2 linked regions of the Drosophila melanogaster genome follow. The protein of the gene in region 2 interacts with the protein of the main gene of each other region in a pairwise test. Each region holds a gene or a part of one and is shown on either strand. Other genes may lie near its edges. The genes, in order: bard and SkpC.

What was found.
Region 1: the proteins of SkpC (region 2) and bard interact in a two-hybrid assay, tested with the Drosophila melanogaster proteins (one large-scale study listed by BioGRID).

What each region holds. Positions count from the first base shown.
Region 1 is NT_033777.3:18,076,722-18,087,876, reverse strand, and holds bard (bard), read right to left. Parts: upstream 6,830-11,155; 5' UTR 6,757-6,829; coding exon 5,410-6,756; 3' UTR 5,294-5,409; downstream 1-5,293.
Region 2 is NC_004354.4:19,810,541-19,820,497, forward strand, and holds SkpC (SKP1-related C), read left to right. Parts: upstream 1-5,531; 5' UTR 5,532-5,597; coding exon 5,598-6,074; 3' UTR 6,075-6,160; downstream 6,161-9,957. Other genes in the region: SkpD (SKP1-related D), read left to right, coding at 2,261-2,737.

The sequences.
Region 1 (11,155 bases), on a different chromosome or scaffold from region 2:
TCATCATCATCAATATAGTCAAACTCTATTGGGTCTAGATACTGGCGCATCTAATAAGTGGACATATAAAGGTGACACTTTTATTTCGGTCGGTTTTGCTTACTTTATTGGTGATTTACGATAACGCGTTCCATTCACTATATGCAAATTGCATTGGTTGAAAATTTATTAAAGATATTTTCCTTTTGTTGCTGTTCATATTTATTGAGCATTTTCCCAATTTATATTGTTTTACTAGGCTGGCCACACATGTTGATTGTCTAGGGTTTCCGAACGTATATCTTCGATCTTCGATTGTTGAACATCTCTCATAATAATCATAACTGAGGGATCTTGGATTAACAGCTTATAATTCTTCAATTAATAAATATGACACTGCCTTGCCTGTATCATAAATCTGAAAATGTGGCAGGCACAAGAAGAGTTTCACACTGCAACGAAGCGGAATAAAATTCCTATCAATTTTACATGGCAACCAAAAATTTGCAATTTCAATTAGTGCAACGCCCTTTAAATCATGCCTGCATTCACTAGTGAACTATGTCACATAAATCATAAACAACACGGATCCCAGTCGTTTTGGCCTGGCGTCAACTTGCTCGGCTCACTTCCTGTGCCCCACACATCATAAATATTTACAAGAGAACCAGCAAAAAGCGAAATTTAAATAAATAAATTGAGTTACCACCTCAAAAAGGCGCTTGTCAACAAGTTGTGCCCTGATCTCAAAAATTCTGCGGTGTAAAAGTAATTGTCAGTTTGGGTCCAATTACGAAAATTTCGCCATTACCTCAATTGTTGGTTCTATGCAAATGGGAAGTCCCCCCAGCATTTGTTTCATAGTTCTTCGTGGATATCTTATGGCTCTGGCGTGGATGATTGCCCCTACGATTTCTCTATTAGCCATAACCAGGGTAAATAGGCAATTGACTTGAAATTGGCAATTATTTTTTGTCTGTTTCGGAGACAGGCGAAAAGTTAAATGGTAAATAGAGAGCCCAGACAGACGTCCATATGTGAATGCTTGGTCTGTCTGTCCCTGTGCATTTTCCCCTTCTCAGCTCATGGTCTTAGGCTCTGACTTTGCCGTCTGCCTCGTGAAAACCACAAGCGCATTATGAATGAATAATGTATGAATGAAAATTGCATGCACGTGCCCGCGAGCTACAAAATGTTGCACTCTTCGCAGTTTTCTGCTGCCGATGATTGCGGAGATGAAGAACTTTGTTCGATTTGAACTCTGGAAGTAGTAAGGTATAGATTTTCGTTTAAAAGCTTAGGGTTTATTACCTTATGCAATCTTATTGCAGTAGAACTATTCAGATTTATTTATTTATTATTATATTTCAATATATGACAATCACAAAAGAACAGTTATTGAATATCATTCCAGAAGACCTAGATCTAAATCGAACTCCTTTCTTTTTTTTTCTGAATATAGTGGGTATAAAATTAATTTGATTTCCTTTGCGCGATCAGCGACCAAAGCCAACACACGGAACCGATCGGATTCGAGCCTCGCAAAGAGTTCGTCAAGTTCGTCACCTAAGTCTTTTGTTTTGCAGCGCCTCTGTTGATGTCTTCATTAGCGAGGTGCAGCGATAAGCGTGTTTAATGCTGGAAATTTGTTTTTAATAACCCAGAAGAACGCATTTAATTAATTGTTTGGTAGGGGCAAATGCTTTGTCACAAAAAAAAAAAAGCATCGGCGGTAGCTAGACGATTTAAATGCAAATCTGAGCTGCCTGTGAGTGCATCGGATCGTTAAGTTGCCTGAAGATATTCAATTTGATCACTTTGCTGCTTCTTAAGCATTGTTAGATGCAGTTATTAAATTTGACAGTTTACAGTTGGCGATAGCTTTTGATGCTTTGCCGCCGCGGCTACCAAATGACTTCGATTTGGAGCATTATCAGCCGCGTGTTTGAGTTTCTGGTGCAGCGACGGCTGTAGATGAAAGGCGGCTAGCCAAGGAAAAGCGGTAAGGAAAAGCGATTTCAATTAGCATTTTGATGGCTCTACAAATGAGCGGACAGAACAAAAATCGCCGCCATTGATAGGCCATTGATAGCACATCATAAAGCAGGCGATCATTTGTCCATCGCCGTTCATCTGCTTCATTACACTACACAAAAAATTATAGTGAATTTCATTAAAAATGTATGCAAACCTTATAAAATATATAGATTTAACAACTAAACTATGCAATGAATTTTAAATTGATTGTAGTTATCTATATATAATATAAATCACTGCTCTAATGCAAATATTTTTCCGCTTTCATCGGAGAGGCGGCTTAGGTTTGAGTCGCTCACGTTATTAAATCATTTGGAATTTATGATACGTCACGCGATTTTCGAAAGACACCAGCCATCAAAGTGGCCTCCAACTGAGCCAGCTATGACAATCTTCGGGGTAATTAAGTTTTTGCCAAGTGACAAATTAATCGAACCGCGCCAATTGCCGCAATGACCGTCTGGGACCGGCCCGCCTGGCATTAATCAATGAGATGTCAATTCGACTGTGACTCGGGGATGCAATTTTCCTTTTTTTTTTCATCCATATATTTTTAAGCATTTTTTGTTTTGTTTTGGCCGAAAACAAATGGCAGGCTACGATTGAGGTTCGAACGAACATTCAACGAACCGGCGACAAGATGTCAAGTTTTCGGTTTGGCAATAAAATTGTAAGCATTTATCTTGTAGTTCGTTGGCGTTGTTGTTCGTTTGCCTGTGTCCGAGGTCTTTGTATTGTGCGTAGACCCAAAATAGGGTCTTACTTTTCTCTTTTTGCATTACAAAAGTATAGAGTTACCAAACGATTTGTCAACGTTTAGCTAGTTATGCGCCAAACTGAAGGAAACTGGCACCGGATCCAAACATTTTGTTACCTCGTTAAGATTTGTTGACACTCGTGTTAATGTTTTGTGTTATTTTCGTTTGTGTGGTTTTTTCTTGGTTCGATGGTGATGCAAATCAACACGGTGGGCCACCTGGAAAGCCAGTTCATGGTTAAGACTTCGTGAAAGAATACCGATCCGTTAACGATAAATTGTTGAACTGAAGACCGAATTGATTGTCTTAAGTCGATGATCTTAAATAAAAAAAGTATATATATATATATTCGAATATTATTAATAGGTTTAAATGTTTACTTATATTGATAATTATATAAGAGGATAAAATTGTTTTGTTCTCTTGAAATATGTACATTATCAAAGATTGCTGTGAGTAAATATTGGTATTGATTTGATTAGTTAGTTTAAACGAAAATTGCATCTTTAGGGCAACAATCTTGCGTTGCTTCTATTTATCTGGAATCTGCATGCTGAATCTCCTAGCTTTTATGCTTCCTGAGATCTCGACGTTAATACGGACGGACGGACATAGCCTGATCCTGATCTAGAATATATATACTTACTTCTGCCTGTTACATACTTTTCAACGAATCTAGTATAATAAAGCAGAAATCATATTACTATATTATTTAATATGCAGAAAAGCTTTCGCATTACTTTATATAGAAAGGCGCACCTAATTAATATTTTTTGTAATATCCCATAATTGATCACCGATCATTACAAGCTCTAATTTCACCTTAACCATGGCAACAACAGCCACTGAATTTTACAAAAAGTAAAAGACAATATCAAAAGCAAGCCGCATCGTCTTATCGCCGTATTTATGGTCTGAGCGATCGAACTTATCCGACACAGTACACCACTTAAGGGCCTCTGGGGATTTTTTGGACCTTTTATGTTTAATTTAATTATGGTAAAATCAGCTGGTGCTAGGCTGCCTCATTTCGATTAATTTGATTCGATTCGATTTCATTAACAAGCTTGCTCTGCAAATCCACAAAGTTGTGGCATCGAACCAATTTTGGGGCTTAAAAGTCAAGAAATCCTCGTGTTCGCGTTCCAATTTCACCTACAAATTCGTTACACTTGGGACAGGTTGTAGATGACCCTTTGATTGCCATCACCATGACGAATTGTGTGCCCTAGTGTCATGTTAAATAAAATTGATAGAGAAATTAGGCAAAATGCTTAAGTTGGGTTGGAGTGCGAAGATGTAGCGGAGCGGCCTTTTAATTGGGTCGCATTAGTTTTGGACCTTAAGTGGTGCATATGTCAAAGAAATGCCCCTGCAATTAGTCAATTAATGAAAAACCAATAGATATGCGGCTAACACAAGTCGATAGCCAAAAAAAAGGTCTATCCCCCCCAAAAAAAAAAAAAACGTTTGGAAATGGCAACTACGCCAGTTGGTCGGTCAGTTGGTCAGTCGATCTCTGGTCTCCTCCGTTGGCCATAAATTAATAGTCCATTATTTCTAAATTTTGTCCACTTCAAACTGTCGTCGCCGAGTCGCCCAGAGCCAACTGACTGCCCTCGTTTGCATTTTAATCTCTTGATGGGGCGATGGGGGCCACAAATTAGTCCGGACCCCACTTTGTGTTGACTTGCCAGTGCGGCCAATAATTTAGGCCGACAGACGCGATCGGCTCACGTAATGTTGGAAAACGAAAGCAAAACTATGCTCTTTTTCCCAAAAGCCATATTTTTTTTCGAAGAGAAAAGTTATGTAAATCATTCAGCCAGGCGCACATTTTTTCAAAATTGCTTAATTTCCTTCACGTGCAAGTACGCATGGGATAGTTATCGTTTATAGTAGATATGTTATGGGATATTATGTTATAATCCAGAAGGCTAGACTACCCTGTGATTATCCTTTCCGATCGGAAACCTCATAAAACAAAGTTTACATATTCATTATGGAATAACCAAAATATTAACAATTACACACAAATTATAGTTAAACATCTATAATCTAGCTTATTTGAAAGCAGTTGTATTGCGCCAACCCTGAAGTAAGAGAGCCAAATCCCCAATGCCATGCCAAACTTCACTTCTTTTGGCCAGTTGGCCAATGGTCAGGAGTTTCGGTGATCGGGGAACTGAGCCGGACAGTCGGCAAAGAGCTTTGGGCACTTTGCGAACTCATTTTCCGACTCAATCAAATCAAATAATTTATGCCTCGCGAAATTAACTGGCCATGTGAGTGGAGGTCATGCCACATGTGAGGAGAGTCCAAGAAGCCATGACGGCAACTTGGGGCCCAAAGCACAGTTAAATCTTTTCGCTGGCCATAAAGTGTGTTGATTTTTCCATTTGCCAGACCCTAAAGCGCTGCAATGCGAAATAAATAAATGTTTGCCGTTGAAGGAGAGACCTCTTGGAAAATTGCCTGCAATCGGGGAGTGTTTGAGAATGAAAATGTGCGTTGCTTTTGATTTAGCCAGTGCGTCTTATTTATATACAATAGAAAATATAAAAAATTACAAAATTCATGAAAAAAAATATTTGTTTAGGAGTATATACAATTGGTAAAATTGTTGAGCTGTTATTCACTCAAAATCAAACTCGAAACCATCCTCCTGATATTCGTATTCGCTGCTGTCACAGGTGACCTGAACATATTTGTTGCTCTGCCAGTGATAATATTCCTCGGGTGTGAAGTTGCCCCACATCATGTCGCTGAACACCTGCAGTGGTCTGGGATTCCTTTCCTGATTGCGAATATTCACGAGCTTAGTAAGTTTCTCCCAGTTGCTGTGGTAGCCGTTCAGAGCCAAGTGCTCCAGATTGACGCACTCGGCGACCAGTTCCAGGAGCTGAGTCTCCCGCACAATCTCCCAGCCACTGAAGCTGAGCACCTCCATTTGTTGGCAGGGCATGTGCTGGCGATCCAGGAAGAAATCATTGTGGCACCAATTCTCGCATATCACCTTCCTCAGCTTGGGCAGTTCGAGGAGCAAACTTTGCTGCCACCGAGCTGGCAATTGAACCACTTCGTTGTTCAGGGCAATTCGGGTGATCCTTTCGCTTTTGGCCACCACAATCTGCTGGAAGATGGTCTCCTGATCTGCGTTCAATTGCCGCGAATCATCGAATCGCACGGATAGTTTCTGTAACTTGGGCAACTGCAGCACCTCCGATAGCATGCATTCTACGGTGCTCAAGTTGATTTTTAGCACTTCCAGATTGGGCAATTTGATGTCTGTGAGTCTCACACAACTGTCGAACTGATCGGTAATGTCAAGGACTCTCAAATTGGTCATTGTCAGACAGATATCCTGAATCCAGCGGCTATCCAATGGCACCGAATGGTACAAGGAGTTGAATACCAGCTCCTCCAACTTCTTGAAGCCACGCATATATAAGCCAGATAGATTCATGCAGGTCATTAGGCGCTTGAGATTGGGCAACATTACCGTCAAGTCGCGGATGTCCTCATCGACCACTGTGTTGGGATTGCCCGCCAATATGCAAGTGTCCACCTTGGGAAACTTGGTGATATTGATATCGCACAGGTGTGTGATATAGTCGTAGAATTCAGAAAAGGAACCAACGCCGTCGTGAACGTGCAGATCCGTGAAGCTATCAGCCATGTGTTCCATAAAGAAGACATAGTCATCGATGTCCAGGAGTCCAAGGAATGGTGTATTTGGACCGATGATCAGGTGCAGTCGCCTCTGCCAGAACTTGAGAATCTGTGGCATGAACTGTGGATAGGCCCTAGCCATGCGTACCTGATCGATCAGATTGTCGATCTCTTCGAAAATCTGCTCGAAAAATATAATGTGCAGGTTGTCGATGTAGTTCGGTTCAATTTCCTCCATCGGTGAACAGGTATTATTTTGCTGGGCAACCAGAGCGTCCTTGTAGAATGCGGTATTGTGCATTTGCGACATTGTATGTATTGTCTGTCAAATGTGATGACTGCTGTGTGTTGCTTCCTCGAAGGCTGCTGTTGGTTGAATGTGCTCTTGTTTTGATGAATCTAAGTTTTTATGCAAATTTAGGTAGTGCATTTAGTGAGGGAGTGAATCAGGTAGTAGTGGGGAAGGATTACCCAGTGTCCTTATCTCTTTTGCAGGCTAATCCTTTGGCAACAGCTGTGCCAGCTTTCAGTAGTAGTTACCTGTAGTTACCTGATCTGTAGGATCGCGCCATGATCGCGCCGGTCCTCATAAATTGCGCCGTCGTATACTGCCTGCAATTTGTAAGCCTGCGCTGTTGTTGTTGCTGCAGAAAAAAAACCCTATCTGTACAGTTATCGCTAGAGAGACTCACTAGTTTGCATATTACACGAACCCAGACGTGTTCCCAGCCAACTTCTCTAGCAACTGCCCTGTTCCAGTCCAGAATCTTGGCCGGATGCGTTGGACAAAACGTGGTCAGCATTCGGCTTTGCCTGGCTTGGCTTCTAGGAAATGCTAACAACTCTCGCAGAGGAATCGTAAACGAAGAACAGTCCCACCAAATGGAATAGAATAGAATGGAATGGATTCTGTGCGAGCTTCAACGATCTAATAATCAAAGCCATGTGTTTTTGTCTGGCAGCTTAGCGAGCGATTAGAGGAATCACAATCACAGAAGACACTGAAAAAGAAACTGCACAGTTTATTATCCGAAGAAATACATTTTCTTTTAAAGATACAGTGTTAGAATTATCTTTATATTAAGGGAGAAACGTAGCTGATGAAAACTGTCGAAGCGATTAAAAGCGAATCCTTTTCACTAAAGTATGTCCAAGGAATATATATGTTAAAAGTAAATGTTATAAGATCACAAACCTTTGTTAATAATATATTTAACATATAATAAATTGAAAAAATCATATATAGGAAAGTAAAATATAAAAATATCAAAAATTGAGGTACATTCTTAGTTTGATTTCCTTTAAAATCTAGTAAAATTTTGCTAGGATAGACTTAAGTACAATTATTAAATAATTTTTGTGAGTGTTGAAGAAGGTTCACACCGTTTCCCGGACAAACTTGTACAGTTGCCCTGCGTTTCCCATTGATAATTCTTGGATACCCTCTGTTGTCAATTGTCATTGGGTTGGCTTTTGTCCAGGGACTAATGGCATTGTTGTCAGCCTTGTGTGCGTCTATGGCCTGTCAAAGCATAAAACTGGGCAACAGACAATGCTGACAATCTTGAGCGGGGAGCCAACTTCTTAATGTAGATATAATGCACATTTCTATTTTGGCCCGGTTGGTGAAAATATTTTCATTTGTTCATATTTTTCAACAACTTTGTTGGCTACACCTCAAATCTGATGTTTATGAATTCTCAGCGACTCTGTTTTCTTCTTTTGGGAAAACGTTGCTTCACACGAGATTTGGAAAACGGGTTGGGGTATATCTCTGATGCAAATGCACTTGTCTCTGGTATTCGTTTTTTTCGGCTATAATATACTTTTTTTTTTTTTTTTGGTTGGTCTCTGTTTGACTGTCTTATCTGAGATCAGTGTCGATCAAGGCAGCAGACGAATTGGGAAACATGACATACCGAAGTATGTGTATGTATGTGTATATGTATGAGGGACTCGAGACTGTTTTAATAATTTTGACGTAATCACATCACAACAATCTACCGTGGAGGCTGTTGGCTTTTGACTTTTCCTGACTCCCAAGTGGACAGTTCTTTTTAGCCTCGATCTCTGCCTGATTTGTTCATTTAAATGAATTACAATATTTTATCTTTACACAGAGATCGTTGGAGCTTAAAACGCTGTTCACATACATATCTCCTTTGCATTATTTGCAGGTAAATAAAAATGAAAAAGTTGAGAACTTTCCAAGCATCATCTGCCTGAAATTCCTATAGCCATAAAAACCGGGACGGCACAAAAGGATCAGGCGGCGGCTGAAATACAGCTGCCACTGTTAAATCAGGTAAGCCCTTTTGGCCAAATTACTTCACACCTCCGTACTGACAAGCCAACACGATCGGTAGCCGTTGCCGCTGCCAGGAAAAAAAAAAAAACGTAAGTGCACGTTTTTTAATTCATTTGTTCTAAAACTTAATCAGCCAGTACGAAAAGAGGAAGACTGCGTTTTTTGGGCAGAGACAAGAAGTCGTGATTGCGCAACTCATAACTCACACACAAGCCAACTTGAACTTGGCTGGCTTTTTGTATTATATATATATATATATTTTTTTTTTAGCTTCTTCTTCGCCTTCTGCTGCTTACATTGTTTAATTAAAAACGAGGCTGTTGTTGCCGCTGCGGCTGCTGTTGCTTTTGCAACACGTACCACGATGATGACAACAACTGCTGCAGCAGCGCAACTGCAACACCAGCAGCAGTAGCGGCAGCAACATCAAGACACACTCTTCAGCTGAAGGGGCAGCACTTCAAGTGGCTCAAAAGGACGACACGTTTTGGCTTCTGTGTAGAGCCGTTGTTAGCTGCGGCTAGCAGTTTGCAGTTGCAGTTGCAGTTGCAGTTGCTGTTTGCAGCTTGCTGCTGCCATGGTGAAGTGGAAAGCAGTAGCTGCAACGGCAGCCAGAAGAGGCGCGCCACTTGCCACAATTACCGGGACGGGACTTTCAGCGAAACTCCGTAGTCGTCTGTCTGCGGCGGCTGCTTAATTTTCAGACAGCCAAGCGATTATATTGCTCCAGAAATATACGAAAATGATGGTTGAGATACTCTTTCCAAGAGGGTATAACCATTAGCTATTAAGTATTAATAATATGAATCTAGAAACAATCTTAACTTATCTCATTTCCTAGAAACTACCAACAATTTTTACGTTAGTTGTACTCAGGGCCATAAACAAAGGGTATTGCCATTACGATTCCTAAGAAGTTAAACCTAGACATGCATACATCCTTAAGTAACTTTTAGTTCGATCCTATCTAGGGTATTCTTTATTCGTAGTTCCCATTCCCGTTTGCTTTGCATCAGCGCGTGGTGTTTATAATTCGCGAATCATGTTGCATTGTTCGGAGCGTCTGTTGGAGCTTTTGCCTCGGGAGATTCTGATTTTGTTCCTGTTTCGTTGGCGATGATGAGGAGCTTCACTTTTTAAGGGGGCACCGTGGAAGCTGGATGGCACCTGGATGGCCCGACATGATGGGGCACATTTGCCATGTGGACTTGAACTTGGCTGGCTCCTGTGAGCTTGGCTCGGCTTTAACAATGACAATTGTTAGTGCCGCAGATCCACAGACGACTGCTGATTATTTTGACTTGATAACGAGCTAAACAATAAAAACAAGCATCAGTCCAAACAAACTGAACAAAACTTTTCGCCAAGTCATGTTTATCAGAAGACCTGGACAGAATTCATCCTCCAAGGCTCAGAGTGTGTTCGCATGTCTTGGTTTTGTAATCAATTTGAATGGCTTGGTGATTTTATTTGGTTGAATTTGAGTTTGTTTTGCAGCTTGTTTGTTGTGTTTACCATAAGTTGTTGCAATTATGTTCGCTGCACTCTGCATAAAAGTGAAAACTAATTGAGGGGAGTGGCCTGGATAAATGGCCAAAGTAAACAATTGAGAAATTAACATGTTCTATGATGCGAACTTAATGGTTTTCCTTTTGCTACCTTAATGTTTGGTAGCACTTTGTGTCATTCGACACGTTTCCTTCTTAACAGTCGTAAATTGGCGATCCATAAACTGGCCAAACAATAAGCGGCTAACAATCGGCCAACAAAATTGTGGACTATGATCATGAGATCTCCTTTGTCTGGCATCCAAAAAGCGATTTGCATAAGAATGCAGCAAACCGGCGAGGTGGTAGCTCCACATTTCCCACCTGCATTTAGTCACAAATGTTCCTCGGTCATAAAGTGTCCACAGTCCACAGCCGAATTATGTATCCAACACTTGATGTTGTCTTCCCCAAATGGACTCCAGATGAAGTGTATTGTGTTGGGCGGATATCTATTGTGTGCTTTTTGGAGCGATCCACTGATGGGATGATATTTATTTTAGTGCTGTTTTACTGCAAATTGTTTTGCTTCTGAATGTCCAAACTATCGATCTGAGATTTTAATTCCATGGTGCCTTGATTGTTTCGCTTCTGAATGTCTTAACTAGGGTATTCGTTTCAGCTCATTAGATGGACAGTTTTTTTAAATGGTCTTTTGAAGTCTTGGCGATCACTTAGTTACCTGTTTTGGGCTTACAACTTGAAAATTGGGTTCTGAAAAGAAATGCTTGACTTTGTTTTTAGTACGCAATCATGCAGAACCCATCTACTGTGCTCTTTTTTCCCAGTTCTCCATAATCGGTTTCAATTACTCACCCACAAAATTCCCAAGAGACCCCACAGACAGCGCACAA
Region 2 (9,957 bases):
TGCTACTCAAGACTTGGCTTAGATCCCCTCGTAATTGATGCCCCTGCTATTCCTCCGATATTCCCTCAAACCAAATTGTTTCTTACGCGCTTTTTCCTCCTTACGCACGATTTTAACTTTTTTTTTCGCTTTTTTGCATGCACAGGAGGCGAGTGGAAGAAAACTCGGGCCGGGTTCAAATAAAAAGGGGTTGATTATGGTCACTAGCAAATTGGTAGTACACAGCCACCAAAAAACGGGAGGATCCCCGCCCACTCAGGTCATTCGGTTGTGGACCAACCAACCGTCGGCGAGGACAAAACAAAAAGTGGAAAAGTGGTTGATTTTTCTTTATTTATTTATTCTTTTTTCTATATGATTTTTTTGTTTTTTATTGTTGTTGCTGTTGTATTCTTTGATTTGCCTCGCAATTTCGGTGCTAAGATTTTCACTCTTCCTTCGGCAAGGATGAATATATATATATGTATATAGGAGGTAAATAGCGCGAGCGAGTGGGACAGATTGATGGGGTCTGCTTCTAATGGTTTTTAAATTTGGTAATATTTCAATGCCATTTACGGCTAATGCGCAGCGCGAAAAATTCCTGTCCAGAAACTGTGAGAAAGCCTCGAAACGCCAGAAGGTACAGTTGGTAGCAAAGGGTAGAGCGAACCCCTTTCATTCTTCTTCCTTCCTTTGCATTTGTCTAATTAGGCCGCAACGCAACGCCATCTGTTGGCCAGCGTTCAGAGCTAAGAGCTTCATTGATCTGCGTAGAAAAATGCGGAAAACTCTGAGCGAAAAAGTGAATGAAAAATTTAAAGGCCCCACATGAATTGGCATAAATAACATGCACACACACACACATGCACGAATAAACCAAATAGAGGGACAGACAAACGCTTCACACTTTCGTTATTTTTGGCCAGCGGGCAAAGTGAAAGCGAGTGAAAGCGGGAAAAAGGGGCAAACGACGAGTCCAGACGCAAGTGAAAGTCAAATGGGGGTAGTAACGCACACACTCACAGCCACACAGACACATGTGGCACGAGCTAAAGAACGTAATCGCTCGTAAGTCCTGGCGTCCAGTAAAAAATTCAAAAAAAAAAAAAAAAAAATGAAAATAATGCGAATTGCGAAAACAGGAAACGAGAAAGCTCCCCGAGTCCTGTGTAAAAAATTCATGCGTGTGTGTGCGTTTGGCACGGTCGAACTCACACACACAACCCCCCCACCCTCCTGTTATTACCCCACCACCGCCACGCACACAAGCACAGACACACACGTCCCCGTCAGTCACAAGTCATTGGATGTCCTTCGTCCTTCGCAGCCGGCAGCTGCTGGCAATTCCCGGCCAATACAGCCAGACATCTACGCTTCAAATTTCAATATATTGAATAATACAGAGATCAAAGTTCTGGCCATGCACCCGTCGATTTTGAAGGACGAAGGACGATGGGCGGAGAAAACTTGGAATACATTTGGGAAATTGAAAACATTTGCGGATGCCAGCGTTTTGAGCTCAAGCGATTTGATCGGACTTCAAAAACAGGCCAAAAAGTGCTCCTCTGGGAGTCGTGTGGTGCCAGAGTCCTTCATCCTGTTCTACTCAATCATAAGGTGTAGCTATTGGCTATCCAAAACTGACACTTTTTTGGCCGAATTGCATCCGCATTCAGTTAAGTTTATATATTGTAGCGAAAGCAAGTTACACATAATTGGAGTATTTCGAATTTTGGTAACTGATTTCATGTTATACAGTGAAAGGGAATGTTAGATTCGCAAATGAGTATGTAGCAGGTAGAAAGAAGCAGGTATGCCCACGTCCTATCTCTTAAGCAGTTCAACTCCTGCTTGCTAAAGCAGTTCCCTCTGTTAAAGATATTTTGTACGTGGTTCTATTCGGAACTATTATTTTGAAATTTTTTAATTGAGCACTTACCCAACATTCATATATGTTTTAAAATTCATATTACACTTTTTTTTATTACACTTTTTAGGTCTGCTATAATGAATAACACAAGATTCGCGATTCTTAATAAGAAAGCTAAAGCGATCCTACAGTTCTTGATGTTCATTTCTACTGTGTAAACATTTGACAACGGTGTTTCCGCAGTGATCCCACCTGGTCACTCTGTTCTCACATTCTTTCATATCCTTTTTTTTTTAACTTTCGAATCGTCCAGTTGGCTCGTGCTCTATCAATCATCCCATCTCGTACTTCTCTCTGAATCACTCGTTTGTAGTAGTTTGGCAAATAGAAAGGCAAGGCAAACCGAAAATGGATGCTCCCACCATCAAGCTTGAGTCCTCGGATGGGGTGATCTTTTCAACGGAAGTCAAAGCCGCCAAGCTCTCCGAAACCATCAAGACCATGTTGGAGGTCTCTGCCGTGGAGAACGACGAGAATGCCGTTGTGCCGCTGCCCAAGGTGAACGCGTTCATCCTAAACAAGATTCTGACCTGGGCCTATCACCACAAGGACGATGATGACCAGGCAGCGGAGGGCGAGGAGTTGACCCCGCAAAGCCCACATGACATCTCACCCTGGGACGCCAACTTTATTAACGTCGATCAACCCATCTTGTTCGAAATTACAGTGGCCGCCAACTATCTGGAGATTAAGGGCCTAGAGGATCTCTGTTGCAAGACGTTGGCCAATATGATTAGGGGAAAGACTCCCGAGGAGATCCGCCAGACGTTCAACATCGAAGACGATTTACCGATCGATACGGCCGAGTTGGGCGAAGACCTGTGAGGCACAGAGAAGAAGAGGAAACTTCACCGGAACCTTACTTTGTTGAGAACTTTTTTGTTTCGCCTAGATAAATATACTAATATTATATAATATATATATATATATATACCAGTGTTGGAACAAGTACATTTTGTGTTACCTTAGAAAGGTGGCATGTTATGGACTATGATAAATAAATAAGGTTAGATTACAATCCCAGTGGCTATTCGGACCGATAATTGGTATCAAAGATAATTACCTTTAATCAATTTAGAATGAGAGTTGATCTGTACTGTGCTGTAGTCTTCCACGTTTTAGACTCTAAAAGGTAATAATTTTAATATATACAAAACGATGTATTTAAAATCAATTAAATAATGAAAGTGTGGATATATGTATAGTATAAACTATTTTTATGAAATATGCATATAAGATCATTTGGATGTTTGGTTCAGACTGGTTACGTGTAACGAAAAGAATTGATGGAAGGCAAGGGAACCTGTACTGGCGGATGCACGCTTCAGAATCCGGCTCTAGCTCTTTGGCGTTGTGGGGTGGTGGTCTATGCTTGCGACAAAAGAATATAGGAGTTAGTATACAAAATCGGAGGAAGCAAATTAATATATTCGAACGAAGATAGTTCAAGAAGAGAATGAAAGCATGAAACAATAGGTGTACCTATGACCTAGCTTTCCTTGAGAGCAATGGCTCTAGTGGCCCCTTATGTGCCCTATGTCCGGAGAAACATCAGCCGAGTTCAGTATTTTAATTTTTACATATTCATTTCTATCATTTGCTGACTAATGATTAATAACAATATTTATAGGAACCAATAATAAGTACATAACAAATTGAAATAAATTTAATTTGCTCAGAGTAAGGTGATAGATAATGACTTATGTAAGTTAAGAAAAAAAACTATAATTAAATAGACGTTAAGATGACTAAATATAATCTAAAAAAAAAAGAATAAATTATTTATTTAAGTTTTTCCATATTTCAGTTTTTTTTTTCAGTGTTGTTGTTCTTCACGATATTCTTGTTTTATAAATTATTACTTTTTTTTCAAATCAGTTTCTTTAATCAGTAAAAATTAAATGTAAGTGAGTGGGTTGCGGGTAAGGTCGGTTAGATTTTAATTAATATTTAATAGCTTATAGTCTAGCAATATAATTAGGGTTCAAGCAATTGTTCTCAGTGTATTCATTTGTCGCGTTAATCTGTATAGAATTTGTTCAACTTTGGGAAAAACAAGAGAGAATGCTATAGTCGAGTTCCCCGACTATCAGATACCCGTTACTCAGAAAAATCGATAGATATAAAAAAAAATTATAAAAATTTTAAAAAATTATTCCAAAGTGTGGGCGTGACCGGTTGGGCGGTTTTAGGGCGTTCGAGTGGGTGTGGCAAAATTTTTGTTTTTATCAATAGAAATTTACGAGACTAATAAAAATTTGAAATAATATCAACACGTTTTTCGAAAGTGTGGGCGTGGCAGTTTTGTGCGGTTTGTGGGCGTGGCAAATTAAATAAAAATTAAAAATACAAAAGTAATATAAAATAAGTCTCCTCCTTGGGTTCACATTTAAAGGAATTATTGCGAATAATTCAAATATTTGCGGATATAATTATTCAGAAAATTTCTCTCAGTGTACATTCGCAGTTTGATATCTTTCACGCAAGTATAGGTTTAGGTCCGATAGAATTTATCAATATGTTTACTTCAGCAGAAACTTCTCCCTCTGTATTCATGTCTTCTAACCCTAAAATTATTCTTGTCCACATGCTCACTTTTTTTAATTAATATATCTTTTAAGCATTTAAATTAAATACAAATCTTAGGGTTTTGGTTTATGTGCGGCTGCTGTCAATCGATGGGAAGGGGTGATCCCCGGGACGGCTCGAAAAGGGTGCTCCACAAGACGGCATGACTCGAGTTCATTTTTTTGCTGACCGCCTAATAGGTTAGAGCCTTTGCGTCAACTGGCACACAAAAAAAAAAACTTAAATCGCGTTCCGTTTGGCGGCTAGGAAAACTCACTCGAATAATGGTATTTTCGCACTTTGTTTTTGCTATCCAAAACGGACACTTTTTTGGCCGAATTGCATCCTCATCCTCGTATTAAGTACGTAATTAAGTACTAAAGCTAGCAAATCGAAATTCTTCTTTGTATCTTGGATTTAATATTAATATATTATTTTGGAACTCGGTTCAAAATACAGTTTTACGGTAACTGAAAATTTTGATTCTGTTAAGTGTATATATTTTATGGAAAGCAAGTTACACATAATTGGAGTGTTTCATAAAACAATAATAATACAGTAAAAGGGAATGTTAGAATCGCTAATGAGTATGTAACAGGTAGAAAGTGCCTTCTGTCCGTCTGTTTTTCAAATGAAAAAATATATATTTAATTTAAAGTTTTTTTGAAAAATTAGAGCAAGTAATGTAAGCCCACGTGCTATTTTCCAGTTCCCTCTGTTAAAAATATTTTTTACGGGGTTCTTTCCGGAACTATTATTTTGAAATTTTTTGATTGAGCACTTACCCAACATTCATATAGGTTTTAAAATTCATATTACACTTTTTTTTATTACACTTTTAAGGTCTGATATGATAAATAAAACACGATTCGCGATTCTCAATAAAAAAGCTAAAGCGAATCTACAGTTCTTAATGTTAAGACTTCCAATTTCTAGTGTGTACACACTTGACGACAGTGATTCCGCAGTGATCACATCTGGTCACTCTGTTCTCTATTCTTTTTTCTTTGAACTTTCGAATCGTCCAGTTGGCACGTGCTCTATCAATCATCCCATCTTGTTCTTCTGAATCTCTTTGAACGTAGTTTGGCAAATAGAAAGGCAAGGCAAACCGAAAATGGATGCTCCCACCATCAAGCTTGAGTCCTCGGATGGGATGATCTTTTCAACGGAAGTCCGAGCCGCCAAGCTCTCCGAAACCATCAAGACCATGTTGGAGGTCTCTGCCGTGGAGAACGACGAGAATGCCATTGTGCCGCTGCCCAAGGTGAACGCGTTCATCCTATCCAAGATTCTGACCTGGATCTATCACCACAAGGACGATGATGCCCATGGAGCGGAGGGCGTGGAGTTGAGCCCGCAAAGCCCACATGACATCTCAGCCTGGGACGCCAACTTTATTAACGTCGATCAACCCACCTTGTTCGAAATCATACTGGCCGCCAACTATCTGGAGATCAAGGGCCTAGTGGATCTCTGTTGCAAGACGGTGGCCAATATGATTAGGGGAAAGACTCCCGAGGAGATCCGCCACACGTTCAACATCCCGGACGAAATACCGAGCAGGACGGCCCAGTTGGGCGAAGACCTGTGAGGCACAGTCTCTTTCGGAGCAAATCCGGTTGGGACACCTGGAACCTTCCTTTGTTGAGAACTTATTTGTTTCACCAGAATAAATATGATATTACGAGTATTTTTGAAAGCATATCTATTGTATTTTATCAACATATTCAGTTTACAGTTTACTTTGGCAACAAGAACACATAAAACATAACTTTTTAAATCGTTTCATGTTCGCTTGGGCTAAAGGAGTGCTCTGGCTCTATTCCCAGTTGATTGCCACCAAGCCGCCCGGGGATACAAGCACACACCACACACCACACCACACACCGACCCACTCCACTCCATAGCACCCCAATCCCGGAATCCTGGTGCTCCTTAAGCCGGTTCCTGATTTGGCAGCCACGCTAATTTCCAAAAGCCTTGGCCGTTGGCGCTTATGAGCTCTGCATCCATGAAGTTCGCATTACGTATGTAAAATAGTGCAGAAAACCCCCAAATGAACCCAAGCCCAGGGTCCCAATCCTCGTATTCCAAACCCTTGGACACAACTTACGCACTTTACATACCGTTGCGGGGTGGGGAGGCGGGTGGTGGGTGGCAGGAGGCTGGGCAATGTCCTTTATTGTAAGTTAAGTTGCTGCCCACACATCTGTGTGTGAATGTGGGAGGGGGCGGCCTACGGCTTGCCACTCGCCTTTCTTCGTCCGTTTCATGTGTGCTTGAAATTTAAAATGCTCTGTGGAAATTGGTTTAGTCATGTATGTATGTATGTATGTATGTATGTGCCCAGTGTGCGTTTGTTTGTGTGTGTGCTTAGGGGGTGAAAGCATACACATACAAGAATGTCAGGTGGGCGTATGTGTGTGCGTGTATATGTGGCCATTGGTTTTCCTGCATAAACATAACAAAAATATAGCCAAATGTGCCACACTCGACTTAAGATTCTCAATTGTAAAGTACGCAATGTATGTACATATGTATACATATATTTATGGAAATATAAAAATATTAATATCAAAATTTATTTACCTTGTGCTCTGTAATTTGTTGAAAATTGAATAAATTTCAGAATGGTATGCTATATAGCTGCTCAATAAGAATAATAATGCAGTGGATATAATTATATGTTTGTTCTAAACGATATAAATATGTACGTTGTATCATTATTATGAATATTATCATCATTATCAACTTTACAAGAAATGCACGTATATTACACTTCAGTGAGAAGACACTATCCAAAATGTGTGCCAAGTGCTGTCAGTTTTGCCCCACTGTGCACCACGCCGCACAATTGCCTCGGGCGATTGTTGTTGCTAACTGTGTCGGTGATAGCGGAGCGAGCGGATAGTTTGCTTGGCCATAAGTTGTGAGGCATCCTTTGTAGTTTGCAACCGCATACCCATTTCATCAGGCATGCTTGTACATACATACATACATACATATGTATGTACATACATAATGGGCAAGTCGGCGACACACTTCGAAAGGATTAAATTCTGTTTTAGTAATTAAGTTGAAATTTATAATCAAGCCGAGGGTGGACCAGTTATGTACAGGCCCATCGACATATCCCAGTTTGGCCAACTTCTGGTCATGCGTATGCGTGCTTCTGAGCCACTTTGTCTTGGCCAAAGTAGTTTTCAAGTTGTGCTGCTGCGGCTGCGGCTGCTGCTGCTGCTGCTGCTGCTGCGACTACAGACAAACAAATGGAAAGTGGAAAATGGAAAATAGAGTATGAGGTATGCCCACCATGCCAGCCACGACTCTGGAGTGAAAGTTTTCGCCAGCTCTTTTTTCTGGTAACTTTGGCATTCGCACGCCTCAGCGCATTCGCAATCCGAGTTCAAATCCATAGCATACTTTTGCGGGCGGCATGTTTAATTTATGGCCGTAAAGCGCATGCATGTGTGTGCGTGTGCGTGTGCGTGTGTACATGCGGATGTGTGTGTGTGTGTAGTTTTCTTTACGCTCTTTTAAGGTGGACCCAGTGACTTAGTTCCCACAGCGAGACAGTATATTTTATATTTGGGTTGAAGTCCTGCCCAGAAATGCAAAATCACGGCAAAATTCTTGTTTTTATTTATTTATTTTTATTCTTTAGCCTGGCAGTGACAAGCGGAGGCGACACTGATGCACTGCAAAAAAAAACAACAACCAGTGCTTGGACATCAAATAAAGGAGAAACTTTAAGCACGTCATGAATTTAGCTCATAGGTACTAGCATTGTTTTAATTGATTTCCCATGAATATATGTATTTATTATATTTATGTATATATTTTAATGCCTTTAGCATTGAAATACAATACCGATGACTGCGTAAGATTTCCGCATTTGCCGACCTTATTTCTCAGTGCACTGGTCGTGGCCAGAAATCAAGCTCTCATGAAACACCACCAACACCAACACCAAGCATCCAAATGGGGTGGACTAAAAGGGTTGTCTTGTCCTTGTCCGCCTGTGACGGCCAGCGAAAGTTTTACAGAAGAAAATCATTTGATAAGAAGGACGGCGCGATAGGGCGAGAGCGCGAGCGAGAGCGAGAGAGGAGACAGCTCTTTTCGGACACAATTTCCTACTTAAAAAAAAAAAAAATAAAAGAAAAGGAAATCGAAAGGGGGCATCTGGTCTGTCAACTACATAACATTGCGAATGAAAATTCGAGGGAAAATTTCCCTTCGCTTTTTTTTCCCCCCTGCGCTTTGGGTCGTTTATTTTTTTTTTAGACACAGATACATACAATTTGATTTTTATGTAATTTATCATTTTCCTACTGGCGATTTCTGCTCTACAGTCGCTCAAAATGCTTCTTCTTCGAGGGGTTTGACCATCAAGTCAGATGTGAAATGTGGAGTTTGAGTAGCAAATATGGAGCTGCAGAGGGGAAGGAATCACAATAAATAGATGTATATATGTATATATATGTATGTACATATGTGTCTGGACCTATTTTAATGATATATGCATATGCAGGAACAGGAAGACGAGCTCTGTTCCTGCCATTGTGTACTTTACTTTCCCTCAGCAGTTCAGATTCTAGGGCAAATGCTAATCATGCTAGCAAGAGCTCGGAAAATATGACAAAAGTTTGATTGATTAAATATATTCCTTTTAAATATTATATATATATATAAAATAATAAAAAATATATTATATGAAAAAGTGGGATTGCACACAATATAATATAATAATAATAAAATATGGCTCAAATTTCATGATCAACAGGAAAATCAGAAACTCTCAGAAGTCCACGCACCTTACAACGTCATTCCACAAGTTATTATCTTTCTAATTGCATTCAACAATCTTTCGGACTTAAAGAAAGGGAAAATATGTATGTACCTATTAACTTGGATACCATTCTTACTGAAATAAGTAATTGGTGACATAGACATATACACATCTCTGCGAAAAACACAATGCACAATGTGCATTGCACATGCCAAGTTTCAATACCAACAGCAAATATCACACTCTTTTAGTTTTAGGTTTATCTTTTGGCACAAAATACAAGTATAAAGCTCACACAAACAAACTACATAAATCGCTAAACATCATGGAATGCTTATCCAGCGGCAGATACAATAGCCACCCCACACATAATGGTAGAAATAATAAAAAGTCTGTGCCTTTCCGAAATAGACTTCGCATTACCCATTGTTTTGAGTACGAAACACCGTGTAAGCGCGCGAACAAGGCACCCTTTATCTTTGCTTACATAATGCTTTGTCCACCGCTGACAAGTGTCAGCGAAATCAATGTACTTTTTCATAACTTCTAACTCCTTATCCGATACCCGATACCCATACCGATACCCGAATTCGGCCATCAACCAACGCATCATAGCTTGCAACAAACTTAACCTATCCATCTCCATACTTTATAAACATAAATCAGCCATAGCAGACATAAA